Bombyx mori: one gene and its partners. The protein of the gene in region 1 purifies or fractionates together with the protein of each later gene. This does not show direct contact. Links are inferred from orthologs where the notes say so. Each region holds a gene or a part of one and is shown in the gene's direction. Other genes may lie near its edges.

Region 1 (5,075 bases):
AAATATACATTAAGGCTGATTACATACAGCAACTACAGGGTAGTTTAACATTCAGTATACAACAGTAGAAAATGCATTGGTCTTTGGGAAGAGACAGTAGGATAACTTTGGCTTCACAGAGCATTACATCTGTTGCATACTATGGATTTTACGTTTGTCACTCATTATTCAAATGCGGTAATAAGCAGTTCCAATACTGGACTGTTAGTATTTGGTGAGACTGGGATAGCTCTGTATGCTAAGCTGAAATTAATCTATTGCCTCATTCCAAACTGCCTCATGCCATTAATCTATTGTAAAATTCTTAAATCTGTGTCAACCATAAAAACGGTATAATAATATAAAAAATTGAGGAAGAAGTAACAGTCACTTTTGCAGATGAATGAATTTATATTTGATAGTTATTAACATATCGTAAATGGGTTAAATGCCCATTTTGAACTTTTGCATTGAAAATGCACGTATCATCTTATTGCTTTTGCATATTTGACTTCATGACTTTTTCTTCCCAATTAATCTACTGTTATTATACTTTTTCTGTCTGTTTTGTTTCGTTTATTTTGAGTAATACTTGTCGTATACCGTTATCCACCAGCTATGATATAAATAGTTACCAGTAAATCAGGGGTGGGCAAATACTTTAAAGCGCGGGCCAAAATGAAATTTTCAAAATGTCTCCCGGGCCGGAGGACTATACCGCATATGCTTTTTTACCGCATATGCTTTTTTAATGCTGATGTCAACAAAATCTCATAAAAGAGTTTAAAAAAATTTATGTGCGGAATTTTTCAACGGGCCGGATAAAATTAGCAAAAGGGCCGGATCCGGCCCGCGGGCCGGCTTTTGCCCACCCCTGCAGTAAATGTTGGTATGATTAGTGTTAATTTTCTTCAGGTATTTACTACAAATTAAAACGAAGTACGGTAGTGAAGCAGAAATATTGATTGAAGAGTTGTTACAAAAGGCATGTTCCACTGCTACCGTGCTATTAGTCTCCATTGCTGTTAAATATAAAGATGACAAGGTACTTAGTTCATAGTCATTTTATAAGCACCACCACTAAAGTGGCATATTTAGATCTGGCATTCTCAGTTTATTTGCAGGAACAATTTACATTTAATATGATAAATAAGATAGTAGAAGGAAAAACTTATAGAAAGCCTAATTTAAGTTGTGGCCAGTGCACATGATAACTCTAACAATATAAATAATAAATCCTTGTTATTACATTGCTTTAAATTTGAGTTTCAGGAATATGCAAAAAAAATTCGGATATCCATTGTCAGATAGACAGACAGAAAAAAACAACAAAATGATTCTATAACGGTTTCTTTTTATCCTTTTAAGATCTGGAATTCCAAAAAGAACCCATTTTACTCAAAATGTTTATTACTTTACATTACAATATAATATATATTATATCACATACTATAATTACTATGGTTATCTAATAATGCGTAAATTTATGGTAGTAGTTGTCTGACGTCCATAACCATACTCACCATACTCACCATCAGGTGGGCCGTATGCTCGTCTGCCTACAAGGGCAATAATAAAAAACCATAAGCACAAAATATTTTGATTTATACAATGTTCCTTATTACTAGGCAAATTATTTGTATTCATTTCTTTTAGCTATTCTGATAAATATTGCTTTCTTCACCAGGAAAAGAACATGACTATAGTGAAACTAAAAGATATCTTTATAAGTCTGATAACCGCTGGTTACATACAGCAGGCATCTGTAGCTGAGTTGAAGGAAGGCAGCGAGATACCGACACTGGTGCCCGTCGCAACTATAACACCAGAGATTGATGTACGAGCTGTCATTAAAATTATGAATTCTGGAAATCTAGCTGAAAGTAGTGATAGTGAGTAATTTCAATATCATCTTGCTTGTCGAACAACAGAGTATGAACTGGAGTTGCCATTGCGAAACCCAGTAATAGTGTTGTCAAAGACAGCCCGGCATTCCCTCTAATAATAAGTCCGAGCATCACCTATGTATGTCACTGTTAAACATGATACTCAATGAGTAATTTTAACACGATCCAAATTATATTTTCCATTGAATACTGCTCGTAGAACAACAGAATATGAACTGGAGATACCGTTGCGAAAGTTAGTGATATTGTTGTCAAAGAAAGCCTGGCATTCCACCTAATAATAAGTCCGAGCATCACCTATGGATGTCTCTGTTGAAAATGATATTCAAATTCCAAATCAAATGAAGAAGAATATTATAATGTGTAGATGATGTGAGAGGCTGCATTGTTGAGCTTTGATGGGTCATGCTGGGCAGACTGGTTAATGGTCTACCTGATTTTAAATGATCATAGATACCCCAATATAAAAACCACAACATGAGTCATGAATGAATGTTTGAATATAAGATATTTGACAGATTGGTAGGCCATTGGTCAATATTGATTTATTAAATAAGAATTTGAGATATTTATGTTATTGTTTCAGATGTGTACTGGAAAGTTAATTACGACAGGTTCCATCAGGATATCCGCGACGAAATTATGATCAAAGCAATCACAAGACGAATAGATGAAAACGGTGAATGTTGTTTTCTTTTTTAAACGTCTTTCGAGGCAGACACAGGGATACGTTAGCAATGCTAGAGGTCATCGAAATTTTTTTTTGTTCTACCCAAGATTGGTTTTTGCATATGTGGATGAAGAAGATTAAGACTCAATTGCTTTCTCTGCTTTGCGGCAGAATGGTACCTACCTGTGCGGGCTCACAAGACGCTCTACTGTAATTAAGAAGTTTATGACTTTTACAGGTTTGATATTTGCCTTCAGTGTCCTAGGAATTGAGAATACTGGCTATCTCTGGCTGGGAGTGCTCTGTGGAATTGTTTGAGATGATACCATCATCTCGTTTTTACCACCGCACCGCCCGCCACCGGAGTAGAGTTCATCCATATTACCTGGACCCACTGCGTTTCCAGAGATCTTTTTTGCCACGTACCATCCGGCTTTGGAATAAGCTCCCCTCCACGGTGTTTCCTGAGCACTATGTCACTGTCATGTCACTCTTCAAAGGAGGCTTGTGGAGAGTATTTAACGGTAGGCAGCGGCTTGGCTCTGCCCATGGCATTGCTGAAGTCCATGGGCGACGGTAACCACTTACCATCAGGTGGGCCGTATGCTTGTCTGCCTACAAGGGCAATAAAAAAATATATCAACATCAACCAAACATTTATGTCATTGTTCAAACGAGGTTTGCGGCGAGCATTGCTGTCATATGAATAGCCGGACAGACTGATATCTTTGGAGTTCCTCTGATGAGTTGTGAATTTTGTATTCTTCTCCAGCCGGTGAGCTTCTTCGTCATATGCTGCAACACATGTACCTGACGTCTCCGGCGTGGGCTGCAGAGTCTACACTAGTGCCGGCCGTGGAATTGAGGGAGGCTTGTCTCCGGGCCGCTGCTGACAAGCCCCTCTTGAATCAGTATTTCGATCAATATCTGAAGGTCTTAGGTGAGGTTTTTTTATGAGTAAGTGAGTATTCTTTAGTGTGCACCCAAAAAAAAAACAATGCGATACGTTAAATAAAAAAGTACAATTGGAGGTGTTATCGCTAAGAGCGATCTCTTCCAGACAAACATCAGGTAGACAAGATTCATTTGGAAACGAATATTTTTTTTTTATGATTGAAGATTTACTGGTGGCCTGGAGGCCTTGCCAGTTTCACCAGGACGGGTGGGCGAGCAAAGGCTCAGCCAGAAGGGGTAGGATTTGCTAACAGCTGCCCGAGCACCTCCAAAGGAGACCTAACAACTCAAGAGCAGCTGCTTCACGGATGAATCTACTACCAGATCGGAATCGCGATCCGCTGAGAAGATCCTTACGTGCGGTGTACTAATCCAGTGAAATATATATTTATACACATACATATGCACAATTGAAAATTCATAAATTATGAGTTGAAGTAATATTGAATTATGGTGAATCTGACGCGTCATTTCGGATCCTCCCGATCCATTATCGGTGCTTTTAGGCACCACAAGCACCTGTCATCGTTTTCGTCGAAACCGTCGCTTGTGACGTAGGTCCCGGCGAGTAAATTGACCCATAGACATAGCCCACTGAGTTTCTCGCTGGATCTTCTCAGTGGGTCGCGTTTACCATCTGGTCGTGGATTCTGCGAAGCACTGCTCTTGCTAGGGTTAATGTTAGCAACACGCTTACGTTACGCTGACATAGCCTCTCAAACTTATTAGCTTAGGCAGGAAAAAAAAGAGTGCGTTGCGTGTGACAGAGGAGAGCGGGTGCGGCACGGTGCGGGCGGACGCGGGGGGGCGGGGGTACAGCGTGCGGGGGGCGGGCGCGGCGCGGGGGTGCCTGCTGGCGCTGCTGGAGGGGCTGGTCACGGAGAGACTGGGCTACAAGGCCGCCAGGATATTCAGGTTAAACTTTGCTTTTTTTTTACTGGTGGTAGGACCTCTTGTGGGTCCGCGCGGGTAGGTACCACCGCCCCGCCTATTTCTGCCGTGAAGCAGTAATGCGTTTCGGTTTGAAGGGTGGGGCAGTCGTTGTAACTATACTGAGACCTTAGAACTTATATCTCAAGGTGGGTGGTGCGTTTACGTTGTAGATGTCTATGGGCTCCGGTAACCCCTTACACCAGCTGGGCTATGAGCTTGTCCACCCATCTAAGCAATAAAAAAAAAATCACACGTCATTTCTCTCGGCACATTTCCACGAAAAGTCACACACCGATTAATCGATCGACGATTTAAGGTCTGTAATTATTATTAAAATACTTTGATTTGTGCCAAAGATATCACGAAATAGTAGTATCGGTAGGCGAGTAGCAGTTTCAGTAACAGATTTTCATTGTCTCATCGATTGATTAGTTAATGAGGCGATATTATTGATTGTAGGGTATAATCAAACAAAACATCCACCACCTATCCGTAGTTCCGTATTCTAATTCGAATTTGAGCCAGCCGGTGTACAATTTAATATTCGTGATGTCCATGGGCTCTCGACCTTAACGCCAGATCAGACGTGAGCTCGTTCGCCCATTTATAACAATGAAGTCAAAAAATATGTT
Region 2 (5,819 bases), on another chromosome or scaffold:
AAATTGTACAAAAAAAAAATCTATGGATTAAAAAAATATGATGAGAGTGAAATTTTACGATGCGCGCGCACCGTGATACAAAATTAACAGAATGAAGTTGCCCACTAAATCGCTCATTACAATACGACCGACGTAACTTGGCGAGTCTGAATATAGCCGCAGGTGAACTTTCGGAAATGTTTTTTTTTTTCTTTTTTTTTTTCCTACCTAAGCTGGTTGCCTTGAGAGGCTATTCCAGCGTAACCTTAACTAGTAGGTGAGCTCACGGGGCTCAAACCTGACGACGTTGCTAACACGAACCCTTGCAAGAGCCGTGCTTCGCAGAATCTACCACCGGATCGGAAACGCGATCCACTGAGAAGATCCGGCGAGAAACTCAGTGGGCTGTGTCTGAGGGTTAATTTGCTCGTCGAGCCCTTCGTCGCAAGCGACGGGTTCGACGAGAACGGTGACCGGTGCTTGAAGTACCTAAAAGCACCGTTAGTGGATCGGAAGGATCCAAATTACGTGTTTTGGGCGACGTCGACTGCTTTCCATTCTTTCCGCAGGATCGGGAATGTAGTTACCGGCGGCCACGATGAGAGGGTTCTCGTGTCGTGCCGCTTTGTCGAAGTGATCCGAACCGTTTTTTTTTTTTCCTGCCTAATCTGGTAGCCTGGAGCGGCTATTCCAGCGTAACCGTGGCTAGTAGGTGAGCTCACGGGGCTCAAACCTGACAACGATGATAACACGAACCCTAGCAAGAGCCGTGCTTCGCGGAATCTACCACCGGATCGGAAACGCGACCCACTGAGAAGATCCGGCGAGAAACTCAGTGGGCTGTGTCTGAGGGTTAATTTGCTCGTCGAGCCCTTCGTCGCAAGCGACGGGTTCGACGAGAACGGTGACCGGTGCTTGAAGTACCTAAAAGCACCGTTAGTGGATCGGAAGGATCCAAAATGACGTGTTTTGGGCGACGTCGACTGCTTTCCATTCTTTCCGCAGGATCGGGAATGTAGTTACCGGCGGCCACGATGAGAGGGTTCTCGTGTCGTGCCGCTTTGTCGAAGTGATCCGAACCGTTTTTTTTTTTCCTGCCTAATCTGGTAGCCTGGAGCGGCTATTCCAGCGTAACCGTGGCTAGTAGGTGAGCTCACGGGGCTCAAACCTGACAACGATGATAACACGAACCCTAGCAAGAGCCGTGCTTCGCGGAATCTACCACCGGATCGGAAACGCGACCCACTGAGAAGATCCGGCGAGAGTGGGCTGTGTTTGAGAGTTATGTCCGAACCGTTTTTTTTTTTTTTTTTATGATTGAGAGATTACTGGTGGCCCGAAGGCCTTTCCAGTTTCACCAGGACAGGTGGGCGAGCAAAGGCTCAGCCAGGAGGGGTGGGATTTGCTAACAGCTGCCCGAGCGCCTCCGAAGGAGACCTAACAACTCAAGAGCAATTGCTTCGCGAATGAATCTACTACCGGATCGGAATCGCGACCCGCTGAGAAGATCCGGTGAGAAGCTCAGCGGGCTGATGCATGGGCTAGGTTGCACGTCGACCTCTTTGTCGAGTTCGACGAGTACGGTTACTGGGGTCCCTAAGCCTGCTCCTAGTATTAGAGCTGAAGGCATCTAATGCAAAGGTTATTGGATCTGATGGATCCGTAAGGACGTGTCTAGGGCGTCGACGGTGACTGGCTCCTGCATGATCAGGATTCGGTGAGTAGTCAGCGGCGGCAACGATAAGGCGATTATCATGACGCATATCCTTATCGAAGTACCGTTCCGACGCTGACTTCATGTATTTCTGGATTGATTCAAGGCCCAGGTCGTCGTGTATTGTCCGAACCGTACCGAGAATTACCGAATTTATACGATGTCAAGAAAAGGGATGTCCAATATGCGTGTTTGAGGATGTTCTTTAATAAAAATAAAGTTTAACTTCTTACGCGCGTACATAAGTACACGCACCCTTTTTTTTTTGTTTATTTAGAGTTTCTTCAGGTTTAAGCGCCTTATTCACGATCCATCACGACTGTACGTCAGCTCAAGGCCGCAATTAATAATAATTATCGACGTACGTCAAGCCTATTCATGATCCTTTTGCATCGTGCATCGTGCATGGCCTTGGCGGGACGTACAGCAAGATGGATCGTGAATAAGGCGCTTTAAATAGGTAATCGGTGGTTTATTAACTGTCTATTATCTGTGAAAGTGCATAAATGTGGGAAAATGAAACAAAGCTGCTGAACGTAACTTCTCGGGATCCTCGAAAATCCACTGAAAAAGTCTCAGTAAATGACCACCGTTTTACTGAGATTATATTTCATCCCATATCACCTCATCTCATTTTATTTCGTTTTAATTTCATTTCATTTCATGCCATGTTTTATATTAATCGACTTTATTTCATTTCATAATATTATTTTTCATTTACCTAAAAAAACTTTTCATTAAAATTAAAATAAGACTTGACCTTGACTTGGTTTTAGTTACCAGGTCATAAAATCCCTTAAAAAAAGTATAGATGGATTTAAAAATTATTTATGGGCACGCTGTATGGGCTTAGATCCCCTTGCCTTTCTTAAAGGAAAAATTGTACCAAAAAAATATCTATGAGTTTAAAGTTTGTAATTAAATGTGCAGAATTGTGCTCGTGTTTGTTCGTTGTTAAAAATTGCACTTATTGTTTACATATGTACTCATCTGATTTGTTCCATTCTATAAAACAATTCCAAGATTCCATCGCTTGGTAAATACGGACAATATGATTTACTGCCGAAGATAGTTCAATATTACAATAGCTTATTTAATTTACATGATGGGCGAACTTAATAAAAAACAAAATGAGTGGGATACCAAAGGATTACGGGACCCTGTCAAAACCCTTGAGGTACTAGCTTTATTACTTTTCTGAATTACTACTATTGTTTTGATACACAATTGAAAAAAAAATACACGAACTATAATATTACTACTAACCAAACAACAAAATCATATAACTGTCTTTAAGATTTTGTTCATTCATTGATATTTAATCACTCCAAAGTTCAATTGTATAGTAACAAAAGTTGTAAGTGACAATATACAGTTGAGTTCAAAACCCTACCAAAGTATGATCATAATTATTTGAATAATAAAATGTATGAATTTTATAGAATAACATCATAAAAATCTTAGAAAAAAATAGTACAATTTACTGACGTCCTGATTTTATCTTAAATTTCTAATATTTCAGCTTAACACTGTTCATATGAATGTTTTCTTTCAGGATAAATGGAAATTAGTGCCTTCATTTCTTCAAGTTAAAGGTTTGGTGAAACAGCACATAGATTCATTTAATTACTTCATAAATGTGGAGATAAAGAAGATAGTACAGGCTAATGAAAAAGTATTTTGTGAATCTGATCCACTGTTCTATATTAAATATTTAAATGCCTATGTTGGTACACCTGACTTGGAAGAAGGGTTCAATATCACTAAGCCAACGACACCTCATGAATGTCGTCTTAGAGATATAACATACTCAGCTCCTATAACTGTTGATATAGAATATATTAGAGGAAACCAGAGGGTGATCAAAAATAAACAACTGATTGGAAGGTAACATCTTAAATAAATGAAGAAATGCATATTCTAATACTAGCAGATGTAATGTTGCTTGATCTATTACTATATCTTGATCTTACTCACTAAAAAGCAGAACATTCCAGGCTTTAAAAAATTCTGTATTATACATATCAAATGAATTTAACATTCTGTACTCCCAATTGAAAATATCCTATCTTAAAAACAATTCAATGAAAAGCTCGACAGAGAAATTATGTTTTATTGTTTGTCCACCCCACCCAATGTAACTCAGTTAAAAATTGATTGACTTATGGGCTGCAACTATTGATGATGTAGGAATTTAAGTAGTTCATCATCTGCCTTTTACCTATCTTCACGACACATGTCTGTCAAAGTATTAATAAAGTAGTCAAAGTAAAAACAGTTTTTGTGTCAATATCAAAGTAATAGTATCACAAATTTTTAACATGTTAATGATTCCTTTAATTACTTTAACATTAGGTCTTTGCTTATGAAGTTTAACAATACTGGCCATTTGAAATGTAATTAAATTATATACCTATTATTAACATCACTCTCATATATCATTTTGAAATCTGTATTTTGATTCTTTACAGAATGCCCCTCATGCTTAGGTCTTCAAACTGCGTTCTTACTAATAAATCGGATTTTGAGCTTGCACAGTTAAATGAGTGTCCCCATGATCCTGGAGGCTATTTTATTATAAGAGGTAAGAAACCAATTTAATTTTATACAACTAATATTAAAAAAAAACTCCAATGTATATAAATGTAAAATGTACATAAAATATTTAAATGTGTAATAATTGTAATCATAAAGTTAAATTTTATTAATTTGTTAATCTGGAGTAAAGTACATTGGGAGCCTTATATTTAGTCAGAATAAAAATAAACGAAAATTTAAATAAATATAATATAAAGAAATATAATAAATAAATATAAAGAAAAACTTTAAGTTAAAAATACATAGAATAAAAAATTTGGCAAGACTTAAAGCATAATAACCTAACATTGACCACATTAAGGTTGCATTTCACACTACATTTGGGTTTTTTTTTGTGGTCTAAATGAATGAAATACTGAGTTCTCTGTGAATATACAGTTATGAGCTAGGTTTCTAGACAAAATAATATGGTTTTAATGAAACACATTTATTAACAGTGCTCTAAAACAAAGTTAAAGACAATCAAATTCAAATTATCATTTTAACGATACTGTAAAAATAACTGCGTTTGAACGTTCAAAGAGATGATCTGATTGAGTAGCATAGCCAAAAAATATGCTAAAATTTATCTAAATTTCTAAAAAAAAAAGAAAACAGTTTTGGGATCCGAACACTATTGGTTTTGATTTCAAGAGTGACAATATTTTATTATTCGATCACTATTGCATACAGTTACATGGAGTGAATTCAGTTAGTTTTATATTGGCTTCATGTACGCTTTTTCATTTATGCAGCCCCTTTAATAGAAGTTCAATGGATGTATGGTTTTTAAAATGAAATGTATTTTTGTTTTTATTTTTCCCTGCACGAGTAGTACCTAGCCCCGTACCCGCTTGACCTTGAGTTTCAGGACACCTGTATAAGTACATATATATGTAGTTTACTTGAGTAATGAAAAACAATTTTTATTGTCTGTAGGTCAAGAAAAGGTGATTTTAATTCAAGAGCAACTCTCTAGAAATCGAATGATTGTTGATGAATTCAAAGGAGCAGTACAATGTCAGGTTACAAGTTCCACACATGAGAAGAAAACTAGAACGAATGTGATTCTTAAACATGGAAAATATGTGCTCAGACATAATGCATTGTCTGATGTATGTTACTACTTAAATCAATTTCATTTAACAAACAATAATCAAAGCTATATATGTATTTTTTACTGGTGGTAGGACCTCTTGTGAGTCCGCACGGGTAGGTACCACCACCCTGCCTATTTCTGCCGTGAAGCAGTAATGCGTTTCGGTTTGAAGGGTTGGGCAGCCGTTGTGACTATACTGAGATCTTAGAACTATATCTCAAGGTGTGTGGAGCATTTACCTTGTAGATGTCTATGGGCTCCAGTAACCACTTAACACCAGGTGGGCTGTGAGCTCGTCCACACATCTAAGCAATAAAAAATAAAAATAAAACCATAATATGTTTTGAATTGGACTTCTTCCCTTCAAAATTACAAAAGCTATTTCAAAAGCTAAAATAAATAATTTCCAATTATGTAGTTTCCACTAATTTGTATTTTTTTATATTCAGG
Region 3 (4,964 bases), on another chromosome or scaffold:
CAAGCATCTCGGAGGAGGAGATTCGTGCAACCGTGCCGAGGTTATGGGGCAAGGACACGACCCCTTGCCCTGACGTTGTTCACGGCGGGGCTAGGATTTGGACTTCCCTTGGGGAACTTTAGACCCTTGGGGAGCGGCTTGTGCAGCTCATTGAAGCCTGCCTTGAATCGGGGCAGCTTCCTAAGCTGTGGAGCAAGCAAGACAGGGAGACTTGTTTTGCTGAGGAAGGAGAGACCCCCTATGAATTCGCCTGCAGGGTACCGCACGTCATCAGCTGGGATCTGCATTGCCATCCACATTGCGGTCGTAGCTGTCGTCACCGAATATACTGTGGAAGACCAACCCAGACCGTAACACATTTTAACCCAGCAGGCTGGTTCTGACCCAGCAGGATAAAAGTCCTTCATAAAAACATCTTTGGGACCACAGTCTGTTCACAACATCTGCAGATCATTAAGTCCCACAGCTTCAGCCCAAAGCCCACAAAAAAAACCTGTGGTTTCACATTTGGCACCTCTTTATCACCAAGGTCACTTCCTAATGCAGTAAAACACAAGTTTCATCAGAATTAGGCCATTGGCTAATTCATCCTGGAAGTCAGAACTGTTTTTACATGACTCACTAAGCAAAACCACCCACCACACGAACCTTTTCAAATAGAACAGCAGATTTTTTGTATGTATATATGAATTAATTTGATTAAAAATCATCAGTAATTCAGTGTTTTTGATCTATTAAGGATAAAACTAGTCCTTACCTGTTCAAAATCAGGGTCAATGTTGATTAACTGTGTTGTAAGTTCTAAATACAGTGGTTCTCGAGAGCTATTTCCCTTATAATGTATCAAAGGTTGAATATCATCATCTGAATCCATTTTTTTTATTTCAATAATCGCACTACTTTGTAATATATTGTTTGTTTTTTTAATTTATCTAGTAGACTAATAAATTTAAATTTCATTACAGAAATGAAATCATATTAAGACATTTTTTTTTATACTTATTAAAATAATCTTAATGAATTCTTGTATTTCAATTGAGAACAAGGCTTTTGTTCATGAAATTAAAAATAAATTTAAAATTTCATACTGCAAAATTGCCTGATAACTGCACTGTCAGATATTTTTCACTATTATATCCGAATTAACGCTAAGGCCAGACCTTTGAAATTGTAAATAATTCAAAATACAACAGAAAAGTAAGAAAAATTATCACCAAAAAATTACAAAACCCCCTTGTTTGTTGTATTTCTTTTAATAATCTAATGTCAATTGTCAAAATATCATTTTTATTGATTCGTTCATATAGTACAGGCAAAGGAAATGGGACGCATACAGTAAAATGTTTTGTAATTTAAGCTGAAGCCAATCATCAGTCAAAGGTGAACTGGAACGAATAAACTGAATAATTGTATGAGACCGAATGGAAATTGTACGTTGTAGTTAATTTAGGGTTTCTTCAGACTTTAAAGCTTAAAATAATGGTTTATTAACCGTAAAACATTTGTTATAGTACACAAGTATGAGAAAATGGAGTAAAGCAGCTGGAAATGTATTTAGAACATATTTTTATGCAGCGCAGCATTGCAATGAGTCGATTCCTATATTGAGACGAAGCAGATAACACTGAAGGAGAAAATGAAATATACTTAACAACAACAACATCATAGGACTTGAATTACATGAAATTAAATAAATATCGCAGTAACTTATTATTAAGCAACTGACAGCCTAATGCATATTTTGGAAGAATACGAGAAGCTATGACTGACGTTCGTCTTTCATTTTCCCAAACTTTTGCATTTTCACATATTCCAAACGGTTCACAATTCACTCTCATTACACATGTAGATCTGATGAAATATTAAATTTACAAAATAAAATAATTAACTTTGGACTTTTGAGATTTCACAAATTCGATATGCTCTCCCATGCCTTAATGTACGGAATGAATGGTTGTTTTAACTTGATTTATTTACATTGAAAATTTGCCGATGATCACAAATGAAATGCTACGTACCATTTGACTGTCATCAATACTGATATGTTGCTGCAGGGATAAAGTCATTTTAACCTGAAATAATAGAGAAAACCATACATTTCACATTTTTTAAGAGACTGGCTTAGAAAATTTCTTGATTACTTATTAAAATATTCTAATAATAAGTAGACTGCTCCAAATATGCGTCAATCAATTTCACTCAAACGTTAAAAAGGAGCATATCTTACTCTCTAAAATCCAACCACTAAAAGTCAGTTTGGAAATTTAAAAAATAATTATGTACCATTCAAATGAAATGAACATTCATTCAATGTTTTAAAATGTTTTAAAAATAAAACATTAAAATTTGGTTCTATAGACTACATTCCTTTTGCCGATTGAAATCGACAAACAAAAATATCATATTTTCTTGTGACACTGTCATCTTTAATCATAAGTCATAGACAATACAATATGTAATCTATGACTGTCGTTGCGAGTCTAAAAAGTTTTTATCTCGAAGTAAAATAATATTATTGTGAATTGTAAAGAATAGAATTACAGTGTTTTCTCATTAAATTTAATGATACTTTGTAACTAAAATATCTTCTATTATTATTAAAAGTAAATACGTTTTATAAACCAAATAAATAGTTAAAGCATTGATACTTTATAACCCCAGTGCCTCACCACAACTTTAGGTTGTAGGAAATAAACAAAATGATTATTCCAGTACGATGTTTCACATGCGGGAAGGTTATAGGAAACAAATGGGAAGCTTACTTAGGCCTGCTACAGGCGGATTACACAGAAGGGTACTGTACAATTTAAGTTTTGCAACTGGTTTTTATACTTACCAATATTCTAGAACTTTAAAATGGAAATAACTGACATACATAATATAATGTAGTTATTTGATAAAAATTCAGCAAGAAAGATAAAACAGCTCCTCCCAGAAACAATATTAATGTTCTTATGAATTCAAATGACGGAATATGTAGGTGATTCCTGTTAACTTGGGTTTTTCTTATTTGCCAACTCATACTTACAGCCCACCTATCTTAAAGTGGTTATCATAATCCATAGGTCACAAGGTGGTAATTTTTTTTTTTTTTTTTTTTTTTTTTTTTTCCTACCTAAGCTGATAGCCCTAGCGGCTATTTCAGCGTAGCCTTAACTTTAGTAGGTGAGCTCACGGGGCTCAAACCTGACGATGTTGCTAACACGAACCCTAGCAAGAGTCGTGCTTCGCAGAATCTACCACCGGATCGGAAACGCGACCCACTGAGAAGATCCGGCGAGAAACTCAGTGGGCTGTGTCTGAGAATTAATTTACTCGTCGAGCCCTTCGTCGCAAGCGACGGGTTCGACGAGAACGGTGACCGGTGCTTGAAGTACCTAAAAGCACCGTTAGTGGATCAGGAGGATCCGAGATGACGTGTTTAGGGCGACGTCGACTGCTTTCCATTCTGTCCGCAGGATCGGGAATGAGGTGGTAATGATGGTAGATCTTGACACCAGATTAATCTCTGGACTGTTTTGCAATATCCAGTTTGAGTGTGAGGAAACGGAAGCATATAAGTGATAAATGTAAGATGATATCCTACTAGACAAGTAAGCTATGTAAAAAGTGGCCCGAGTTGATATAATCATTACTACCAACTGCAGCAATGAAATAAGATTGTTAATGCTTGTTAGCTTTGAGTATTCTTATACCTTTTTTAATGTGTTTATAGGCATAAGATTCTCTTGATAGTGATAGATTACTGGTAATCATCGAAGTCAGTTAAGCGTACTGTATACAGTAGATTTACTATGTGAATGTTAATATTTAATTGTATTTTTTTACTTTCAGTGATGCTTTGGATGTCCTTGGATTGAAAAGATACTGCTGCAGAAGAATGTTGCTCGGACACGTGGATCTCATTGAAAAACTCTTGAATTATTCCCCATTAGAAAAATAATGAAATATTTTTTAAAAAACACAATTAAAAATAAAAATCTATAATTGACATAAATTTTTTAAGATATTAGAGTTTTTCTTTCATACCTATATTAATCACCGCACAAAGGCTCTTGATTTACATGCCTCCCATTGTCAATGGAAAGTTTAACACAGTATTTATTTTAACTGGTCAAAGTCTCAAAGCCTAGGACATTGGTTCCTTCTGTCTATTTGTGAAGAAATTCTATCTCTACTGTATATTTAATAGCCAAAATTATTGTAAGCTCTAACATTTGAAAAATGACCTGCTGTTTGCTTCTTTTATAATCTGCATCAATTGAGGTTTGTATACGAGTGCGTGGGTGCAGGTTTTTGTCAGCTTATTAATATTCTGAATCGTTAAAGCCTTGAAACTATATAAACTAAATAAGAGTGATTTTTTCATGTACCAAAAAAAACTAGAGTAGGTTAAGACTAGTTACAAAAATTTTATTGTTATGAGACTTGTTTTAATTGCTTTTTACTTGTTACGGCCAATCCACATTTCATTATTGCTCATTATCAGCTCGTCACACACTTCAATTATCAATTTCTTTTATAATTGAAATTCAATCCTTTTTGACTTTGCCAAAATCCAGTTTTATAGTCTGTGGTTTTGGTTGTGCCCAGATGTCTTTTGGTGTGGTTTGTACTCTTGTTTGTTCTTTTATAGGCTTCGTGATTGCACAAGGTCACATAAATTTTAATTATTATTATTTTACAAAGTAATCAACTGTTGAATTACTTACCTAAAACAGGACAAACAATATATGAGGCCTATCAAATCAAAGGCAGCTAAATGCCTTAATGTCGTAAAATGGATTTACAATGGCGTTATCTTGTTTAGTTAGTTGGACACGCCTTAGTGTTTTCATGTTATAACAAATGCAGCTAAATCTCTAACAAATTCAGTTCCAAAATTTTATTATTACTCTGTACTAAGTAATAATAAACGAAGTTTTATCATTTAAAATTCAGATTATTAGTAATATTCTCATTCT
Region 4 (5,518 bases), on another chromosome or scaffold:
AAAACTCCCGCGAAACTTTAGTAAGTGAGAAAATCGTTGCACGTTGTTCGTGTTTTTGTCTATAAAATGAGTAAAAATCAGTTTTATAGGTCGAAATTGATCTTGAATGCTTTAAAAGAACAACATGGTGAAATGTAAGTACGCTTCAGTGTGTTTTATTATTGTCAAGGTTTTTTGTTTTCCAAAATTGCAACCTACTACGACACATAAAGTAAATGAAGGTGCAAATATTCCAGAGGATGTTAAAACTGCATACGGGGATCACAAAGCTAGAGCAAGTAAAGCAATACAAAAGTATCAAGAAGATGCCTCCCTAGAAAATACTTCCTCTGTGAGATACTATTCGATGGATTTACAAAAAGTTATGTTGTTACCCGACATGCCTAAAGTCAAAGAATCGTTTTTCTTGAGTAGAATGATAACTTTCAACTTGACATTTGCACCAATCAGAAAGAAAACGAATGTTAATAATATTTGTATTCTATGGCATGAAGCCTGTTCTGGACGAGATGCTCATGACATTGTTAATGCAATTGCAGCAATGATCGAAAAAGAAAGAGATTTTAATCATTTGATATTGTGGTGTGATAATTGCAGAGCTCAAAATAAAAATTGGATCCTCTTTACATCACTTGTTACTATAATAATCTCTGGGTTTTTCAATTTAAAAAGTTGGACTTTGTAATACCTACCTAACTAAAGATCACACAAGCATGTCGCTGATGGAGTTCATGGCAATATGGAGAGGCAGATTAAAAACAAAAGATGCTGTGTACGATTTTGAAGACTATAAGAATGTAATTTTGGGTTGCAAATCGCATATTGAAGTTATCGAATTCGAAAAATCGTATGAGTGGGTAAAAAAGAAACGCATACCGCGACGCAATGATGACCTTGTTCCCATTAATAATTTTTTGCTTAGTTCTTTGGTTGAAATAATATTTGTAAATGGGTGCCGTAATATGTTTTGAATGATTTTTAATCTCCGTATTCCGAGTTGAATTCTCTTATTAAAAACACAATCTCTTGATCATGCCAACCTTAAAAAATATTCCAAGAGGCATTAACGAAAGTAATAAGGAAGGCATAGTAACAACTTTATTTAGCTTAAAGAAGTTTTGGAGAAGAAGTCTTGGCAAAGTGTACCGATTAATAATAATCCAGTTAATTTAGTTTCTAGTGGACAAATATTAATAACCGAATAATTTATTTTTATTTGACTGTTTTCAAATATTTTGAGTGATTATTTTTTGATTTTTTACTGTGAACAAATAGTGTTTGGTTTCCGATTATGTGTTTTTTTTTTCTTTTTCATTAAAACTGCTTATTTCTGCCCATATTTATGTTGTTTTATTCTGTTTTTTCTTACTATGTTTAAAAAATTGCATTTAGTTCCTACTCAGTAAATTCAGACCTAAATGAAAACAAAGCAAGTGATCTTACTAAGTCTATTAATTTGCGTTTATCCCCACTCATTATATTTTAGAATTAGATGAAAACAAAGCAAGTGATCTTACTAGGTTTTGAAATTGTCACACTCAAAAAGTTTGATCTAAGAAAACAATCTTTTTATTAGTAACTGCTCCTCTACGCACATCTTTTGTGATAGACGCATGAAATCTACTTTTTTATAAAGCCTGTTATGCACCTCAAATTTTGCAATCACTCTCAAGAAGGTACGACTAATATTATTGAAACGGCACGCTGTCAAAGATATGAAATTGTTTTTCGGCTCTCCTGTAAAATTTAGTTTTATGCAGATACTGGGTTTTGATATTTCACAGCCGATTAGTATCGACGCTTGAAAGGCAAACGTGACTAGGTGACAATGCAATGACAATGCGTGAACTTTACAGTAGACTAAAGTTAAAGTTGGAATACCTGAAAAAAATCTATTTTAACGAATCTAGCTGTAGTAGAATCTAGCTAGTAGCTGTAGGATTGAAATGATTTTAATAGACCTAGAAATATATAGTTTTTGCGCCTCGAATATGGTTATTGCCTATCATTTATGTACAAAGCAGTTATTGTCGCTTAGTCACGTTTGCCTTTCAAGCGTCGATATGGAATGAAACATTGGAAGGTGGACTTAAAAAACTCGTACCCATGCCTTCAATTCTTAAAAAAAAAAGCAAAATAGTAAACAGAGCAGACCATAAAATCTTCAAAAACCGAAGTTTTAAATAGAATTTAATAGTAACATATTTATCAAATAAACCAATGTTTGTATTAGCTGAAATGAAAGATGTTATTCGAGTTAATCCAGAATACTTTCGTCAAAGTCTAACTGATTCTATAACAACTTTACTCAACAGAAAGTTAGCTAATAAGGTTCATAAATCATAACTATCCAAATTAATTTAACCGAATTAGTTTATCTAATTGTATTTATTATTAGTTGTATATTGTATAATATATATGTTATTAAATATGTATTTTCAGGTTGTGTTAGAAGTAGGTTTATGTATTGTACTGTTTGACATAACCAATGTTGGACACTCGTACATATTCCCTGGAGACGGTTCATCTCACACAGAGGTGAAATTTAGATATATCGTGTTTCGACCTATTATTGAAGAGATACTTATAGGAAAAATAAGGAGCTGCAGTAGAGAAGGCGTGCACGGTAATTTATCAGTCATAAAATTACATGTATACTCAATAATGAGACCCAAATGTAAATAAATCATGATTATAATTACTATTTAAAATTTTCAGTGACATTAGGCTTTTTCGATGATATATTAATACCAGTAAATGCTCTTCAGCATCCGTCTAGATTTGACGAAACCGATCAAGCATGGGTATGGGAATATCCTAAGGAAGATGGAGAAAAACATGATTTGTTCATGGACTCGGGTGTGTATTATCAAACTCCAATTAATTAATATACATTTAATAATTTTTAATAAATAAGTTAAAATTTTAAATATATGTTAATATCTATTAAAGTACACTTGCTGAGTGAAACACAATGTGTTGGTGTCGTAGTCTGGTCCCAGCATTAGCATTGCTACCTTTGTATTGTTTAGAAATGCCACAGATGGGTTTTCTATAATAAAGATTCCCGCAGGCAGGTGCCAATGCTTCTAATGAAATACGTACTTAACAAATGTTCACGAATGACGTCCACAATGATGGAATAATATTGGGTGATAAAAACCAAACTTGCAAAATTATAATTTGTATAATTAGGTAGTAGGACATCTTATGAGTCCACATGGGTGGACTCCACCACCAGCTGCCTATTTCTGTGTCAACCAGTAGTGTTTGGTTTTAAGGATGGAGCATGTGTTGCACTGTAAAAACGGAGACCATAGAACTTATGTCCCAGGGTGGGTGGCTGCATTTAAATTTTAGATGTCTATGTGCTTCAGTAACTACTTAATGCCAGGTGGGCCATGTGATTGTCCACTCATTTAAGCAAAATAAAATATGCCAAAACACAGGTTAGCACTGTTGACTAACAAAACTTAATAAAATGGGTATTTGTTTAGAAGACAATGCCAATAATAAAAGCACCTAAAAAACTACATTGGTGGATTGACACAATCTAGATGTAAATTATAATAACTACACAAATATTATGCCTTATCATCACTACAAAGATTCTTTTTACTGTTAACATTGAAAATCTGTACTTTTAATAATAAAACAAATTACAGGTGAATCAATAAGATTTCGAGTGACAAGTGAGTTTTTTGAAGAGAGCTTACCAACAGGTCCTCCAGGAACAGATTGTACAGTACAAACGGTAGCACCTTATAGACTGATTGGAGGAATAAATGAACCAGGACTTGGACTTTTAACCTGGTGGGAGACACCAGATCAAGAGGGTGAAGAGGATGAAATAGATGATGAATAAAATATTCAGCTTCTATTGTTATTTTTTTATTTGTACTATGTTTGGGGAAACGGTTTGTTAAACTTCTCTGAATGTCTCCAAAGGAAGCTAATCATAAAAGGCACATGGCAAGTCCATCTATCAGGAGATTGAAATTGTGAGCTACTGAGAATATACAGGGAAACTAAGAGGGTTTAGTTGCTGATTAAATTATTTTTTTAGTTTCGATGGGTGGACACACTCATAGCCCTAGTATTAAGTGGTTACTGGAGCCCATAGACATCTACAACGTAAATGTGCCACCCACCTTGAAATATAAGTTCTAAGTCCCCAGTATAGTTACAACAGCTGCCCCTCCCTTCAAACCGAAATACATTACTGCTTTACGGAAGAAATAGGCTGGGTGGTGGTACCTACACGTGCGGACTCACAAAGGCCCTGCCACCAGTAATTACGCAAATTATAATTTTGCGTGTAATATACTAAAGATGGGTTCAAATTCAAGTGACGTCTATAGGTTCTGGTAACCCCTAAAGATTGGAATGAGCCATCTGGAACTAATCATAAGAGTCAGTTGATAATAACTGTATGTAGACTTCCACTTTATTCAAGGAGGACGTTGATTATTGTCTGCTTAAGATTCGCTATTAATTCAAGAATTATAACCTCATTAAAACGTTAAAGTAAATTAAAAAGTAAAATATAATTTGCAACAATATTTATTTAACATGATTATATAATAATACATAGTGATTATATTCCATTATTTTATTATAATTTTAAAATAATAAGTAAATGCCAATCTTAACTTAAGAATTCGGCGTTATAAGTAGATACTATGCCATAGTAACCTTGTCGAAAAAAAACCTAAAATCACAGTGTTTTGACCTGGGTCTAAATCCTTTAATGCACCAAATTACAAAAAGTTATGGGTCAGGCATATGTAACCAACTAATGATACTTTTTGATGAGATCACTCAGTTCAAAAAGGAATAAAATAAAATCTAGAATAGTTAAAATTACTTTTACACTATCACTTTCTACAATATTAAAATCACCTTGCAAAATAAATAACAATGTGTTACAAAAAAAACCGGTTTGATCCTTTTCTGCTAGCTATACAGGGTATAGGTACTGTATACACTTAAGCATTATGTAAGTTAAGCTTGTGCAGTTTTGCCTGTACATGGGATTTTTTTGAATATTAGTGGAATTGTATGAAAATTTGCTATATTTGTCAGAATATGCTTGTGTAGATAAAATGTACTGGTAAAACTAAGTGTTTGTCACCAGCACTGGTCTTAAGTTTCTAGTGATTAGTAATAAATAATAATAGTACTATATAAGTCATTATTGAGCGCATCCAATACTGCTACGGTGGCATTATTTAGCTGAGAACTTTGACGGACAGTTGGTAAAAGTCTTTCTACGAAAGGATAATAATAATTAGCATTGTAAATTGGATTTCGTCACGTTTAAGATGACGGATTGGCCTGCGCTTTTTAATTTCAAATTTGTTAAATTCTACACGCAATTCTACCTTTTTTTCTGACTTGACTTTTAATAGTTCTACAAAGATTTCACAGATGTTAAAGTCACAGCTCATTAGAGCCACCCGGTACTCACTCCGCGGGCCTAATGGCGGGTGGACCATTCGGCGACAACTCGCTGCTA

What was found.
Region 2: the proteins of DNA-directed RNA polymerase III subunit RPC3 (region 1) and DNA-directed RNA polymerase III subunit RPC2 fractionate together in Homo sapiens (co-fractionation; 4 studies listed by BioGRID and IntAct, with this or other methods). This does not show direct contact. The link is inferred for Bombyx mori from reciprocal best matches to the Homo sapiens genes POLR3C and POLR3B.
Region 3: the proteins of DNA-directed RNA polymerase III subunit RPC3 (region 1) and DNA-directed RNA polymerases I, II, and III subunit RPABC5 purify together in Homo sapiens (co-immunoprecipitation; 3 studies listed by BioGRID and IntAct, with this or other methods). This does not show direct contact. The link is inferred for Bombyx mori from reciprocal best matches to the Homo sapiens genes POLR3C and POLR2L.
Region 4: the proteins of DNA-directed RNA polymerase III subunit RPC3 (region 1) and DNA-directed RNA polymerase III subunit RPC8 purify together in Homo sapiens (affinity purification with mass spectrometry; 5 studies listed by BioGRID and IntAct, with this or other methods). This does not show direct contact. The link is inferred for Bombyx mori from reciprocal best matches to the Homo sapiens genes POLR3C and POLR3H.

The regions. Positions count from the first base shown.
Region 1 is NC_085120.1:9,121,116-9,126,190, reverse strand, and holds part of DNA-directed RNA polymerase III subunit RPC3, read left to right. Parts: intron 1-894; coding exon 895-1,024; intron 1,025-1,666; coding exon 1,667-1,871; intron 1,872-2,472; coding exon 2,473-2,565; intron 2,566-3,328; coding exon 3,329-3,496; intron 3,497-4,244; coding exon 4,245-4,425; intron 4,426-5,075. UniProt on the Homo sapiens protein: DNA-dependent RNA polymerase catalyzes the transcription of DNA into RNA using the four ribonucleoside triphosphates as substrates.
Region 2 is NC_085116.1:7,718,975-7,724,793, forward strand, and holds the start of DNA-directed RNA polymerase III subunit RPC2, read left to right. Parts: upstream 1-2,568; 5' UTR 2,569-2,795; coding exon 2,796-2,870; intron 2,871-3,248; coding exon 3,249-3,580; intron 3,581-4,164; coding exon 4,165-4,277; intron 4,278-5,209; coding exon 5,210-5,385; intron 5,386-5,818; coding exon 5,819-5,819. UniProt on the Homo sapiens protein: Catalytic core component of RNA polymerase III (Pol III), a DNA-dependent RNA polymerase which synthesizes small non-coding RNAs using the four ribonucleoside triphosphates as substrates.
Region 3 is NC_085133.1:5,483,814-5,488,777, forward strand, and holds DNA-directed RNA polymerases I, II, and III subunit RPABC5, read left to right. Parts: upstream 1-2,422; 5' UTR 2,423-2,699; coding exon 2,700-2,794; intron 2,795-3,834; coding exon 3,835-3,943; 3' UTR 3,944-4,009; downstream 4,010-4,964. Other genes in the region: polyamine-transporting ATPase 13A3, read right to left, coding at 758-874. UniProt on the Homo sapiens protein: DNA-dependent RNA polymerase catalyzes the transcription of DNA into RNA using the four ribonucleoside triphosphates as substrates.
Region 4 is NC_085117.1:13,231,149-13,236,666, reverse strand, and holds DNA-directed RNA polymerase III subunit RPC8, read left to right. Parts: upstream 1-1,796; 5' UTR 1,797-2,220; coding exon 2,221-2,331; intron 2,332-2,442; coding exon 2,443-2,626; intron 2,627-2,718; coding exon 2,719-2,859; intron 2,860-3,665; coding exon 3,666-3,865; 3' UTR 3,866-3,880; downstream 3,881-5,518.